Linked DNA regions of Tamandua tetradactyla. The protein of the gene in region 2 purifies or fractionates together with the protein of the main gene of each other region. This does not show direct contact. Links are inferred from orthologs where the notes say so. Each region holds a gene or a part of one and is shown on either strand. Other genes may lie near its edges.

What was found.
Region 1: the proteins of MIOS (region 2) and SESN2 purify together in Homo sapiens (affinity purification with western blotting; 5 studies listed by BioGRID and IntAct, with this or other methods). This does not show direct contact. The link is inferred for Tamandua tetradactyla from reciprocal best matches to the Homo sapiens genes MIOS and SESN2.

Annotation. Positions count from the first base shown.
Region 1 is NC_135328.1:197,945,973-197,953,373, forward strand, and holds the start of SESN2 (sestrin-2), read right to left. Parts: upstream 3,012-7,401; 5' UTR 2,639-3,011; coding exon 2,552-2,638; intron 1-2,551. UniProt on the Homo sapiens protein: Functions as an intracellular leucine sensor that negatively regulates the mTORC1 signaling pathway through the GATOR complex. In absence of leucine, binds the GATOR subcomplex GATOR2 and prevents mTORC1 signaling.
Region 2 is NC_135327.1:117,444,117-117,451,770, forward strand, and holds the start of MIOS (GATOR2 complex protein MIOS), read right to left. Parts: upstream 3,019-7,654; 5' UTR 2,816-3,018; exon of another isoform or gene 2,706-2,815; intron 1-2,705. UniProt on the Homo sapiens protein: As a component of the GATOR2 complex, functions as an activator of the amino acid-sensing branch of the mTORC1 signaling pathway. The GATOR2 complex indirectly activates mTORC1 through the inhibition of the GATOR1 subcomplex.

The sequences.
Region 1 (7,401 bases), on a different chromosome or scaffold from region 2:
AGGCTAAGTGCTTTACACATTCGATCTTGCTGATTCTTCACAAGCACCTCTGAAAACAGGTCTTGTTATCCTCTCTTTAGAGGTCTCAGGGGTTCTGAAAGGTTCAGTCCCACAAGGGCACAAGCTCAGATAAGATTTCAAAGCCTGCACAGATTCACAAGGGTCAGCTAAGTCAACAAGGGACAAATAGCTATGGACACTTACTAAGTGCTAAGTACAGTGCTCAGACAGGAATGGGACCTGTAGGGTGGGGTCCCTGCCCCTGGGCACTTCCAGTGAGTAGAGGAGACAGACAAGAAACACCTAGTTACTCAAAAGTTTCACTATAATTGGGATAAAATCTTCCACAATGAAGAAGGGCACTTGGGAGCAGGGGACTTATCTGGTGAGGGAAGAAAGGCTTTCTTGAGGAAGTGATATTTGAGGAAGTGTTTCTAGAGCCCCAAAACGCTCTAAAAACACCAACAGAGTGAAGTATTAAGGATTTTCCAGAGATATGTACACCTGAAGGCCTTGAACCTCTCGCAGGGCCTGTGCTGAAAAGTTAGGGAAATGAGGGGGCTGCACATCTGGGTCTTCCATGGGGCTTCAAGCATAGGGTTCTGTAAGATCAGCCAGTTCCCTTCTGTCTTCTAAGGATTCCCACTTAAGCAGACACTCCTTCCCAAAGACCTCTTTTCACAAGAGAGAATACACAGAAACACCCTATACACCACCAGTCTCTCCACTGCTGACAGGGGGCTTCCATCTAAAGAGCACTCACTCAAGAGTCTGTCTCAACTATCTGAGATACTCTCTTCTCCCCAGACCACTTCCCAGAGAAGGATAAACCAATTCTCACCTCAGACAGGAAGGGAGGGCTGAGGGCGCACCCTTGTGAGACCATCTGGAGAAAGGGAAGTGTGAGCCACGTTCCCAGTGGGTTTGGTCACATTCTAACCATAGCTAGCATGTTTGATGCAGTTACCATGTTCCAGCATTGTGGTGTGATTTTGCTTGTCTTCCCAGTTAATTCGCCAGAGAATCCCTCAGAGATTATCAAGCCCCCCAAGGGAGGAAGTTGTGGATCAGAGAGGTGACCTCTCACTTGGTCAAAGTCACAAAGTTGGTGAGTGGGAGAGAGATGGGGCATGAACCCAACTCTCTTCCACTCTAGTGTCCAGGAACTCTCAATAATACTATTCCCATTTTTCACAAAGAAGGAGATAGACTCAGGGTGTAAAGCAAATTGGTCAAAGTAACAACAAGGCTAAGAGTAGCAGAAGCTGGAGTCATTCCTCCATAGGGAGCCCCTAAATCAGGGTGAGGAAGGAGTTAAACTCGAGCTAACAGAAAACCTAGAACATAAACCATCCACTGTTGAAGTTAGGACCAAGACACCAGGTTGCTCAGAGAAGGTCAGAGATTTTCCCGGGTCACAGAGCTCAGGACTAGCACTCTCTAACTCCCAACAAGAGAGGCAAGCAAATTTCCTTGAAGCGCCCAAGCACACCAAAATCCTGGAGCCACCCAGGCCAAAGAAAGAGCTACTGGGTGAGATTATCGAGAAGTTTCTCCTTAAAGCTTCTCCTTAAATCCCTCCTGGGCCTCAATTTCCTCATTCGGTAAAATGGGGCTATAGTACAGCTCCTATTTTGCTTGCTTAGTTCTGAAGACTCAGAGAAAACGCAGGCAAGAGCCGGAGCCCGGCATCTCGTAGGTGCTTAATAAATGATAAAACGTTCTGCATCGCAGAGGGGTGGGAGGAGGCCCAGTCTTTATCCTAGCCTCACAGCAAAGTCCCTTCAGGCTCTGCCTGGTGGCTAAGGGGAGATCGATTCTGCGAGAAACAAACTTTTAGGACCTCAGACCACTTACTAGAACGCAGTCTAATAGCACTTGGGTTCGGGAGCCGCGACCAGAGTTCCCCCCACCCAAGTCCCTCTCTCCCCAGCTCGGGCCGCCGCCGCCGCGGGTCGGGCAGCCGGCCAAGCCCCCGGAGCGCCCGCGGGCCCCACCTCTTGGAGCGCGCCGCCCACCCCCTCCAACTGGGGCGAGATAGAGGGGGCGGGGTAGGGAGCGGGGAATAGCAGGAGACCCTGTCGGCCTTCGCTGGCCAGTCCCAGACGCCCAGTTACCGGCGCTCGGGAACTGGAGCGCGGACATATCCTAGAAAGAGTGCCCAGCCGGCCTGCCCCGGCCAGGAGGAAGGGAATCTGCGGAAGGAGGCGGGGAGGAGGAGTGGTCGGGCCGCGCCGGCCGGGATTTGCCTGGACTTGAAGGCGCTCTCGACAATCGCCCTAACCCGAGAACCTCGAGAAGGCCCCCTTCTCCTTGGCCAAGGGTCCGAGGGAGCCTTGGAGGCTTCACACCTCTGGGGGGGAGGGGGAGGGGGAGGGGAAGGGGGCGGAGAAGGCCGAGGCTGCCGGTTGATGCAACCCCACACCCAGGTTACGCACTTCACTCCCCCTCCCCAAGCCCGAGGGGCGCACTGACTCCGCTCCGGACGGCCCGAGGCTCCGACGCCGCTCCGGGTGCCTGCGAAGAGTGGTGTCGCCCAGCCGCCGCTTACCTCTTCGGCCCCGGCGCCGCCGCCGCCCCGGGTGAACGGCAGGTAGCCCTTGAGCTCAGCGCTGCACTCGGAGTCCGCGACGATCATAGTGTGCGCCAGGACGGAGCCGCGGCTCGCAGACGACCCGGGCACCCGGAGGGGGCGTTGGACGGATGCACAGCGGGAAGCCGGGACCCGGGGCTGCGGGCGGGTTTCTAGAACCCTGTGCCTCTCGCGATTCCAGAACTCTCCGAAAGCCCAGAAACCGGGAACGGCCGCTGCTGCGCTGGACTCTCACTCAGCCCCTCTTCTGGAACGGTGAATGGCCGCAGGAGCCTACGATTGGCCGCGGCGCGAGGGTTCTCACCGTGCGGAGCGCCTCGGAAGTCCGCAGTGGCCAGGGCTGCTCGCGAACCCAGCGCTTCTCAGCATCCCCGCCGCGGAACTGCCAGCGCTCGCCCGGCCCTGACACCAGCAGACCCGCTCAGCCCGCTGCGGTCCCCGGGGGAGGGCGGGGACACAAAAGCCCGCACCGCAGCCAATCAGATGTCTGTTTCCCGGGGAGGCGGGAGCAACACCTCCCGCTGGAGTCCCCTGCTCGGCCAATTGGCATCGGGAAGTTCCCGGGAACTCTGGGAGCTGTAGTCTGGCCCAGACCAATGCTGCAAACTTTTGCAAGAGGGGTTAGTCAGAGTGCAGGCAATGCCCGGCAAGAGTGACAGCCCAGAGAGTCATTAAAGCTACGTGATGAAACGCGAGTTCACCGGTCTCGGCCGGAGAGCCGGTGTTAAGTCCCTCCCAAATGTGTGCTTCAGCTTTTCAGTTCCTGGAGGGGCGGGTGAGGATGAGAAGTTCGGCCTTGCTGTATCCAGAGGTGTTAATTATATAGAGTGGAACCCCAGATCTTTGGAGATCAGAGGGCACAGCCCTGTTCTCCTTGGCCTCGCGGAGAACTCCGCCTTTAAATGTACCAGACACTGGGAATGCAACCTATTTGTGGAGGTTCTGGGGAACCCTTCATTCACTGAAATGGCACTGGCCACCTCATGTCTATTCTAACCTCAACCTGTATTGCTGCAGTTTCCTCCTTTCTGCTCCCTTGGGACCTCAGGTCCTGTCTTCCAGCCTTGCCCAACCCCCTTCTCGAAACTTTGTGACAAGGTGTTGTGCTGTCTCTTTTCTCACCTCACTCTGGCCACTCCTTCTCTGACTCCTCTTTCTCCTCTCACTCCCTGCAACGTGGGTGTTCCCCCAAGTTTCTGTTTTTATCCCTCTGCGCTCCAGACATACCCTTCGTCCCTAATTTCATACACTCTCTGGCCTTCAACCCTCCTTTGGGGAGGAAATCACCATTATCAGCACCTCAGCAGCTTGAAGCTGAATTCATCTTCCCCTCCCCCTTCTCACAGAGCCTTTTCCTTCACAGTTTTTCTTCAGAGTTCTTCTTTTGTTTCAGTTTTTTTTTAAGTCATTGTTTACTATGGAGAGGGATCCTGGCAGTGGCAGAGATGGACTATACAACCGCCAAGGTCCCCTCTGAGACTCTCTAAGTGTAGGATTACAATTCCAAAGATGAGCCTCTGACTCGGTCTCCTGCCTCCAGCCTTTTGAGAAAGGAAATTAATCTCACTCTCCCTTCAGCTCCCAAGGTACTTGGCCTGGGTCTGTATTATAACAGCACACTCTATCTTGTGTACATGTCTTATATGACCCTTTTGATTATAAGCTTCTGGAGGGCAGGGTCCACATCTTGACATCGTTGTCTCCTGACCTATGCCACCTTGTGTGATATCCCGCCAACAATATGGCCTTGTTAAATGAATCTTCCTTTGAATTAAATTCCCATCTAAAGCACTGTTTCAGATTTCTGCTTTTATTTGAAACAATTACTCTGTAATATCAGTGTCCAGATGAAAAAGCTCTAGTGGTGTCTCATCAGTTACAGAATAAAGGTCAAACGCCCAGATTGGATTCAAGACCTGCCAAGACCTGCCTCAATTTACCTTTTCAGTCTCATCACCTATCACACCCATGTTCCTTGTTTGACTTTCAAGTCTTTCTTCCAATGGTTCTTTCTGCAAATCTATGCCCTTTGAAATGCTACCCAGCATTCACTGTTTTTATTCTCTGTGGCATGAAAGAAGGCTTCCAAATGCCACTTCCTCCAGAAAACATTGCTTTTTTTCAGCCCAGCAGAAAGCAATCTCTCCTACTCATCAGCTTCTTCAACGTGACCTTTCTACTTCTATACCACTGCTCCCCAAACTTGATGCAGCTTCATTATTATATTTGCATGTCATTTCTTCCTCCCCAACTAACAATGAAATATGTTATTGACCAGTTTTCCAATGTGAGGAAATGATCTCAGAAAGATAAAACTGCTTGTCCAAGATCACAAAATATATTATTTTGACTGGGCCAGGTTGCCATTAGAACTCCTTTAAGACAGGACTGTCTAATTGTTTCTGTACCCACCACTAGGACAGAGCCGATCCTTAGTACATTTTTGAATGAATGTATCTGAGGTACTCTCCTCTGTAGAGGAACACTTCAGAATCTTCAAGAAAGTGACTAAACCATTCCCAAGGCTTTGCTTACAAAATTAGTGATTTTAGAAGAAGAATAAGCAAGAGATACCACTATTATAAATTGGATGCTCTTTTGTAACCCAGTATCCAAGGAAAAAAATCAGAAAACACAGGAACTAACATTTGCAGTGTTCAACAGTGGTTGAGGATATATTTGTTGTCACCTCAGGATGCATCTGTTGTCTTACGTTACTCTCACCACAACCTCATGAGGTAGACATTATGTCTCTGTTTAACAGATGAGGAAACTGAGGCTCAAGAAGTATATTGGCCAAGTTCAGATAGCTTAGTTCTAGGTTGAGCAAGGATTCAAACCCAGGCAGGAATGAATCCAAAACAGAAACTCCACCGTGCCACTGATGAGAGAAGGAAGGGAATGTGTAAGAAGCAGGCTGGCACAAGGAACTGATGCTTAAGTCAGAATTCCAAAGTATTAATTGGAAAACATAACTGTTAAGTCACCTATAATTGAAGGGCCAACACATCCCTCCTTGTAGGATAGTCTCCATGAAAAGCCAGGTTATCATCCACAGGTGGCCAGGGCTACTGAAATCTGAGCAAACGGAATGGATGAAAAGATGAATCATTGAACCAGCTCCACTCAGGACAAACCTGCTAGTCAGTGCTGGGCTCCTTCCCTCCCTCTCTCATTCAGTCAATATGTATTGACCATCTAGTGTGTACCAGGCTTTGTGCCGGGCTCTAGAAATCCGGCCGTGAAGCTTCCAACCCAGTGGGGCATGGCGCAGTGACACCAGCTGGACATACTTCCCCTCTCCCCCACCACCTCAAGGTTTTGGTTCAGTCAGTATCTCTTCCTGTTGCCATACTCTCTTGCATCATCCATGCTGAAGCCACTGATTGGCTGGAGCTTTTTTATTCCTCAATATTTCAGTTCTGAAGATACATCGAGATTGGATTTGAAATGTTTCTGAGTTTTCCTCAGCTTCAGGCCCTTTCTCATATTATGACCCTAATGGAATTCTCACCTAGTCTGTATTCATTCTTCCTAGGTTAATTTTCTAATCCCATATTCTGAGATCACTTTACTATATAACCTGTACTCCGACCACTCCTGGGACTGTGATTTATCACCCCAGAAGCCATCTTCTGAGTTCTTCACATTGTTTCTTCCTCCCCATGCCCCTCTTACCTCCATCTCAAAATACAATTCCTGCCCTGGAGGAGACCTGGGGGGAAAAAAGCCCAATCTCAACTGGTTTGATAAAGCCAAAGGAGACCCACCCCTTGTGGGTATTAAACTGACTCCTTCATTTAATTATTCTTTAAGTAGGCATTGTGCTAGGTGCTGAGGAAGGGCCTTCCTTCATTAGGCTGCTGGATCCTGAGACAACCACAACTGGAACTGTCCTTCACAACTGGAGTTGTGCGTTAGGGGGCAGGACTACCACAAGTTCTTGGAAACAGAGCCAACTGTCTCCTGGGTAAAATGGAACAGAAAGGGATAGCCCAGGAATCAGGAAATTCGAATGCTAGTTTTCAGCTGTCTGACCCAAGGTGAATTTTTTTTCTTAGAATCTGATCTCATATCCCTAAAACAAAGGAATTGAAATTACTCCCAACCCTTAAGAGCCACCGCAGGGAGAACTGGTGTTGGAAAAGTACGTAATTCCGTTGCTTTGACTGCATTCCGAGGACAGAAACCTTCAGCTTTGACAAAGCACAGCTCTCCTAATAAATAAAACAGGAAAACTGACCAACTGGATGCTCTTGAGTAACTCACTGAATTCCTGATGGATTGTTTGTCGGCTGAATGGGCCATCAGCGCCCCCTGCAGTCTGGATCTGCTACAGCTCAGCCAGAAACGGGCTGGAAAAAAAGGTGTGGCTTGAGGGCTGCCCCAAACCTTTTTGAGTTTATAGGATCGCCAGGTCCCATGCCACCGCCCTAGAAGTCCTGAGAAGAGGCCATGAGATGGCCAAGTATAAAAAGCATATGGTTGCTCCTCTGCGCCAGCAGAGACCCGACTCCTAAGACTTCACGGTATGAATGCACTTCCCACTAATTTGACCAATTCTCTCATGAAACAGGCAGGAAGTCAGAGATCCGAGAGAGGAAAGAATTTGTCCAAGGTCACCCAGCAAGATGGCCACTGAGTGGAAACTAGAACCCTAGCCCAAGCTCCAAGTCCAGGGAGCCTCACATTTCCAGAAAGAACAACTTCTCTTTTTGCTCTGGTGTCCTTCCATTCCATTCCTAGAGGCCCTCACTATACATCCCATTTCCAGACGCCCCTGCGGGCCGTACCCGGAATAACGCTCC
Region 2 (7,654 bases):
GAAACAGGAAGAGTCATTCATTGTTGGTAGGAATGTAAAATAATGCAGCCGCTGTGGAAAATAGTCTGGTGGATCCTCAGAAAGTTAAGTTTAGAAATACCATATGATTCAGCAATTCCACTTCTAGGTATATACCCCAAGAATTGAATGCAGGTACTCTAAGATATCTTTTCACACTGATGTTCAAAGCAGCATTATTCACAATTGCCAAAAGATGGAAGCAACACAAGTGTCCATCAGCAGATGAATGATTAAACAAAATATGGTATGTTTATCCATTATAGTGGAACATTAGATAGTTGTAAAAAGGAATGAAATTCTGGTTCATGGTATAACAAGGACGAACCTTGAACACGTCATGTCGAGTGAAATAAGCTAGAAACAGATGTACAAATAGTATATGATTTAGCTTAAATGAAATACCTAGAATAAGCAAATTTATGGAATTTTTAAACTACAGTGCAGGTTACCAGGGTCGGGGTGGGAGCTGGGAATGGGGAAGTCATGCTTAATCAGTAAAGCGTTTCTGGATGGGAGTATGGAAAAATTTTGGTAATGTTTGGTCATGATGGTAGTACAATATTGTGAATGTATTTAACATCACTAAATTATACATTTTGAACGTGGTTATAAGGGAAAATTTTGGGTTGTAATATATTCCCCGAATAAAAAATTAAAAAAAGCCATAAAACCATATAACACAAACAGTGAACACTAATGTGAACACTAAGGTGAACTATAGATTGTGGTAAATAGTATAATTACAATATTGTTTCATCAACTGTAACAAAGGTGCCACATTAATGTAAAATGTTAATAGAGAAAACTGTGCATGAGGGGGGTTAAATGGAGACTCTCGGTATGATTTTTCTGTTAACCTACAACTTCTCCAATTAAAAAAAAAAAGTTTAAAAAAATGCGGTATGAAAACTTGATGCCATGGAAAAATCTCCTCTTACAAAACACAAACAGAAAGTGTCACTGTAATTTTTAAAACTATTTAATTTACATGACTCTCAATGGAGAATCACCAGAATTTCTTCTGACGTTATATACTTACGATATTACCATCAACCAAATTTGATAATAGTAACCTGTACAAAACAGAACTTGAGAGGGAGAGATTGGCACACCCTCGGTTCATGTAGGAATAGGGTGAAGACCAGCATATTTTGGCTCTTACACATCAGAGACAGAATCAGCTATATAATGTGCCAAGCCCAGTAAAAATGAAAATGCAGGGACCCCTTGCTGGAAGACTATTAAGTATTTCAACATGCCAAAAGCAGAGCATTAAATCAAGCACGATTCCCTTCTAAGGGTGGAACCCTATGAGGCTGTCCAGGTTGCGCACCACGAAGCTGACATGGTATAAAGAAGTGCTTCTATAATGACCCTCTTAACACAGGCATTTCTTCACAATCCAACACACAACATAGATGAATCTTCATTCATGAATGAAGACAGCTAGGAATTCAGTGTAGAACAAAGAAAATTGAACCTGTAATGAGAAGACCTCTAGTTACTCTGAAACTAAAACTTTGACAAGACCCCTAAATTCCAAGACACGAACTGATAGAATCAACCTTTCCTACTTACATTTTTAAGTAGTCACAACAATGAAATGAGCTCTTCACATCACACAGATGTTATCACAGAAGTTAATGTGTTCAAATTTTAAAGACATTGAAAACTTGGAGGTTGAGGAAGTGGAGTTCACCTAAAATAGGGCTTATATTTTTATACTTTCACCTTCAAAGTTTAACGAGTGTTCACTTCCCATCAACAGTTTCTGAGCAAAAGAAAGCCATGCCGATTCCATGGTCATCATCAGAACATCTACTACAGCATTGTGCAACTAAAACAGTGAGAGTCGTATAATTTAAAACTTGCTAGCAGCCACATCAAATAAAGCAAAAATAGATACAATTCATTTAAAACATATATTTTATTTAACCCAATATATAAAACATATTATCCTTTCAGCATTTAATCAACATAAACATTATTGAGAATTTCTATTTTTTTTGTACCAAGACTTGGAAATCCAATGTGTATTTTACACTGCAAACTCTCTCAGCCCCACGTGGCTAATTGGACAGTGACGATCTATAATACTAAGCGAACAAAGTTAGCCAATCAACCTTTCACATCCTTTTTTTCTTCTTTCTTTCTTACCACGGCATATTACAACAGCAAGTTTCAAATTCCCACCCCCACCAGCTTCATGGATCTGCACTATACAAATTCAAATTTTCCCTTAAAATGTAATTATACAAAAGGCCTGCAACTGCAGTCATTTGTTAAGAAATGTAGCAATGCCCATGGCATACGCGACTGGCTTTACTCGTCATCTTAAGAAATTTTAATTACTCGTATTTGAAGAGATCAGAGCTAAATGCCCGGGTGGTAGGCCCTTTAAGAAGTATTTAATAGTGTACACTGGAGCAGGGCTTGTTAATATTCCGGGTAAACCAACACTCTGAGGAGACTCCCACGCTCCAGACACCTGGCTCAGTCTCTAGTCAAAGGCGGCGACGCGGTTCTGAACAAACCCGCCGAGGCGCAGGCTGAAGTGCAGCCCGCCGCGCCCCCGAGGAGGTCCCCGCGCGCCCTCTGGCCGCTCGCAGCCCCCGGCCCCCTGAGGCCCAGCGTGGTTATCCCGCAGAGGGGAACGCAAATCCCCGGAGCTCAAGCGCCCGCACCGTTCAAATGGGTTTATCCAAGCCCGTCACGGCGGCCGGAGCTCCCGAGCCTTCGCCCCCGGCCTCACCGCTGGAAGCGCGGACAAGTGGCCCGGGCCGCACTCACTGACCTGAGGTGGCAGCGGGGCCGCTGCACAGCCACTTCCGGGCTGGTCGCCGCCCCTCCCGCCGCGGGAGCCGGCACGCGGGCAAGATGGCGGCGGCGCGGCTAGTAACCGGGGCCACACGGCCAGGGTTCACGAGACCAAAGCCGCATCTCGAGGCCGCGCCAACCACGCCTGGGCCTCGGAAGGTGGGTTCTCGACGCACGAGTCCCGCCCCACCCTCGCCCAGGGAATCGCCCCGCCCTTAGGCGGGGCGGAGCCGCTGCCTGGGAGGCCCCGCCTTCTGGCCGAGCGCCCCTGCCTTCCCTGCAGGCCCTGTCCCGCCCGTAGAGCCCGCCGGTGGAAACTGGGAGTCTTGGACTTGGATTGCACCCCAGAGCCCCTTTTTATCGATTTCAAAATCAACTCACACACTTAAGCACGTTCAACAAATTTTAGTTTTTATTAGAAATTTATTGTGGGCGATGTAGTTGAAAGTCCAAGGTATTTGATTCAACACTTGGTCAACTCGTTCATTCATTCCACTAGCGTGTCTTGGGCGTCTGTTCTGTACTGTTAGGAAATGCTAGGGGTACTGGAGTGAACAAAAATAGACATGGTCCCTGCAGAAAACTGACTATTTGAGTGGCGCCTGAATAGGGCTGGCACAATGCTGCACCGGAAGAGCGCCCCTCAGTGTTGGGGATTCAGGAAAGCTTCCTCGAGGCACCACTAGGCAAAGAAATGAAGGGTAAATATGGGATCAGCCAGGAAAGGACGAGGGCAGAGGGAGATGGAGAGAAGAGTTTTTTAGCAGGAGGAAGAGCAAGTGCTGAGCCTGAAGATATAGCAATTGAGAAGCAGGACAGAATGTTCTGAGGTTAGAGTGAGTAGCGGAAGTGGTGAAATGGAGAAAAATTAAGATGCTGCATCAGGAAGATGTTTGGAAACTAGTTTAGGGAGTTTAGATGGACTTTTTCCTGAGGGCAGTGGTGGAGCTATTAAAGGTTTTAAACCAAGCAAGTATGATTTAATCAGTTTGGATGGGAATGGGGTTATAGCCGACAAGGAGAGGGAAAGGATAAGTATGCAAATGAGAAATGATGGTGGCCCAAACTAGCTGGGATGAAGAGAATTAAATATTTAGAAAGCAGAATGAACAAAGGCTTGATGACTGAGTAACTGAGGGAAAAAAAGGAGTCCTGAATGGTGACCAGGTTCTGGTTAACAGATACTGGTGCATCCATAGGTGTTACAAGACCAACACAGAGGTTTTCTTCAGATGTCTACAATTTTTACCTGTTTGTTCATACTTAACAGTGGATGGCCTTTGGCTCATCTTGGTGATTGATGTAAACACATAATGAACTTAGTTCTGATGATCTTCAAGGCAGATGGTTTTGGTGAGAAATGATGAATTAGGGGAGAGTATTGCCTGTGGAGGTCTGAGGTTCCTTTTCACTGCTGCCATTGGAGGAGCGAGGGCAGAAGAAGGTGCTGTATTGAAGGGAAATATCATAGGAGTTATCACCTCCAACACTTTCTTGCCAATCCTCTCAATAGTTTGGCCCTGGCCCCAAACCTCCACACAATACAAGACTCAGATCAATACAAGACTCCTCCTTACCCACTCCTCCTACATACATGCCTGAGCAAAACCTTTACCGTCAAACTCAGATGACTTTGCCTTCTACTTCACAAATAAAATTGACGATTAGATAGGAATTCCCACAGCCCCATACTGCTTCCTCTTTCCCTCCTCCAACATCTTCATTCACTCCCATTCTTACCTTCTTCTAGCTGACCGAGGAAGAGTAGGAACCCCATATATTTCTGCTCTTCTGAGACCTTTAGCCATCAATTTTCTCCTCTTCTATGTGTCTTCAATCTCTTCATTTCTACTGGTTCTTTCCCTTTAAAATATAAACATTTTCAAGTCACTCCCATTTTTCTCCTCAAAGGAGATCAGACTTCTTCTCTTTAATGCCACTTCCTATCTCTCTTGAACTCACTCTCCTCAAGCTTTCATTTACACTGCTCCACAAAACTGCCCTTGTCAAAGTCACCAATGTCTTCCACACTATCAATTCCATTGGCCAAGGTTTCACCCTTGTAGGTTTTGACACTCTTGACCACTTCTCTCTTGAAATATTTTCTACACTTACTTCTCTGTCACCATTCTCCTTTGTTCTCCTTCTGTCCCTATGACTACTATTTCTTGAGCATGGCAAGTGTACTCTTGTCTCAGGGCTTCTGCACTAGCTGCTCCCTCTACTGGAATGCTCTTCCACTAGAAATCTGCATGACTCACACTCTCACTTCATTTAAATCTGTTTAGTTGTCACTGATTATATATAAGTTAACTCCTCTGTCCCTCTCCCTTAATTTTCTGAAAAGCATTCATCACAATTTCACATACATATTCACCTTTTTACTTGCATTTACCTGTCATCTCCTTCTGGAATATATACTCTACATCCCCAGTTTCCATTCTTTTCCTTTACCTCCAGGTTTAGGCAGGGCACTTGGTGACCCAGCTAGAAGCTACTTTTCTTGGCCTCCCATCTGGCTAAACATGACTCTGTCAAAAAGTTGTGAACAATAAGTTGTGAGAATTTCTGTATCATATCCCTTAAAAAGGAAGCTGTTTACCATCTACTTCCTTTTCTTTTTCCTGCTGTCTAGGAAATGGCAGAACAAAACAACAAAACATGAACCAAAATGAGAACTATTTAATGAGTGAAAGGTCTCAGATTACATTGGTTACCTTTATAAACACATATATTGTAATAGATATCAGAGTTGCTGTAGTTAAGCCCCAGTGTTTTATTTATTTATTTATTTATTAAACTGTTGAGTTCTTAAGATGTTGTCCTTTTTAAGCCCCTTCATTTATTTTATGGAGTAGGGGGGGTTGTTGTAGTTTTAAACCAGTAAAGGATAGTAGTTGAAGAACTGCAGTTACTGGGACGTTCTGTGAAGTCTGTGGTTGACTAATCCCAGCTACCTTTACTTCCACATACGCAAAATCAGTCTAAACCTGAGAGCAAGTTTTTTTCTTAGGTGGAGTCTGAGTAGGCATCAAACCAAAATCAAAGCCCTGTAAATATGTTACATGGTAATTGTGGTAGATGAAATTATGTACCCCAGTAAAACACATATTCTTAATCTTAATCTGTGTTCCTAAGGGTGTTCCACTGTAAAAAGGAACTTTTGAGGATATTATTATTAAATTGTGGCCAAATTGAATTGGGTTGGGGTGGGGGTTGTCCTTAATCCATATTATTGGAAGCTTATAAAAAGAGGAAATTCAGATGCAGTTAGTCAGAGAAAGCCAAAGGAAGAAGCCAGAAGTCAGCAGAAACCAGAAGAACAGATGCAGTAAGAGAGAGATTGCCCTGTGACTGAAGCAGAGATGGAAGCTGAGGAAATCTAGTGATTGTGGCAAACCAGCCCCAGAACGCTATAGACTCTGGGAAGAAATCATGACCTTGCTGACATCTCGATTTTGGACTTCTAGCCTGAAAAACTAATAAAATAAATAATAATAAATACTTGTTTAAGCCAGCCCATTGACTTATTTTTAATAGCAGTCCTGGGACGCTAAGGCAGTAATATTTTTACAAACATCGAGGACGAGAAATTCTGAGATACCATAATAGTGATCTTCAAAAGTTTTCTAGCATATTCCCAAATAAATTTTGTAAATAATTGCACTTTTTCTTACATTTTTAGTATTCCGTCTAATATTTGTCATAATATGTTTACATATGAAATTTTTAATATTTAAATTAATTAATTAAATTAAATTAATAGTTATACCACTCTTTAAATGTATCAGGAATAATTTAAGTACCATTGTATTTGTTGATTTCCACTATCATTCATTTTAAAAATGTATGAGTAAGCTATTCTTTGATTATCAGAAAGTTTACATTATTCAGTTTTTTTCTTCTTGAACTTGTATTTTCATTCTATTTTCTCCCACTGAATTATTTTTGTTTGTTTAACAAATAATTATATACCATCTGCCATGTGCCAGATAATTTTATAGTGTAAGACTTATTTAACACTCTCTCAGGTTGGGTTTCCTGGGTACCAGGCTAAAAGATGGAGATTGGGATGTAGAATGCTTATTAGGGAGTGTGCTTGGGATCAACATTTTATGGAAGGGAAGGAGAAGAAGCAGGATTGGGCAGAGGGAGAAGGTGAGCTGTGATGAAATTCCAGCAAAGGCCTTATTCTAGTTTCCTAGTTGCTGGAATGCAATATATCAGAAAAAGCATGGCTTTTAAAAAGGAGAATTTAAGAAGTTTCTATTTTACAGTTCTAAGGCTGAGAAAATGTCCCAGTTAAAACAAGTCTATGGAAATGTCCAATCAAAGGTATCCAGGGAAAGATACCTTGGTTCAAGAGGGCCAATGAAGTTCAGGGTCTCTCTCTCATCCGAGAAGGCACATGGTGAACACAGTCATGGTTTCTCTCTCAGCTGGAAGGGCACATGGCAAGCAAGGCATCATCTGCTAGCTTTCTCTGCTGGCTTCCTGTTTCATGAAGCTCCCTGGGAGACGTTTTCCTTCTTCATCTCCAAATGTCACAGGCTTGTGGGCTCTCGTGGCTATGTCATTCTTCTCTGGCTCTCTCTGAATCTCCCATTCTCCAAAACGTTTCCTCTTTTATAGGATTCCAATAAACCAATCAAGACCCACCCAAATGGGTGGAGACATGTTGTCACCTAATCGAGCTTAACAACCACTCTTGACTAAATCACATCATCCAGGGAGATGATCTGATTATAGTTTCAAACATCCAGTGTTGAATAGGGATTATTCTACCTTTATGAAATGGGATTTTGATTAAAACATG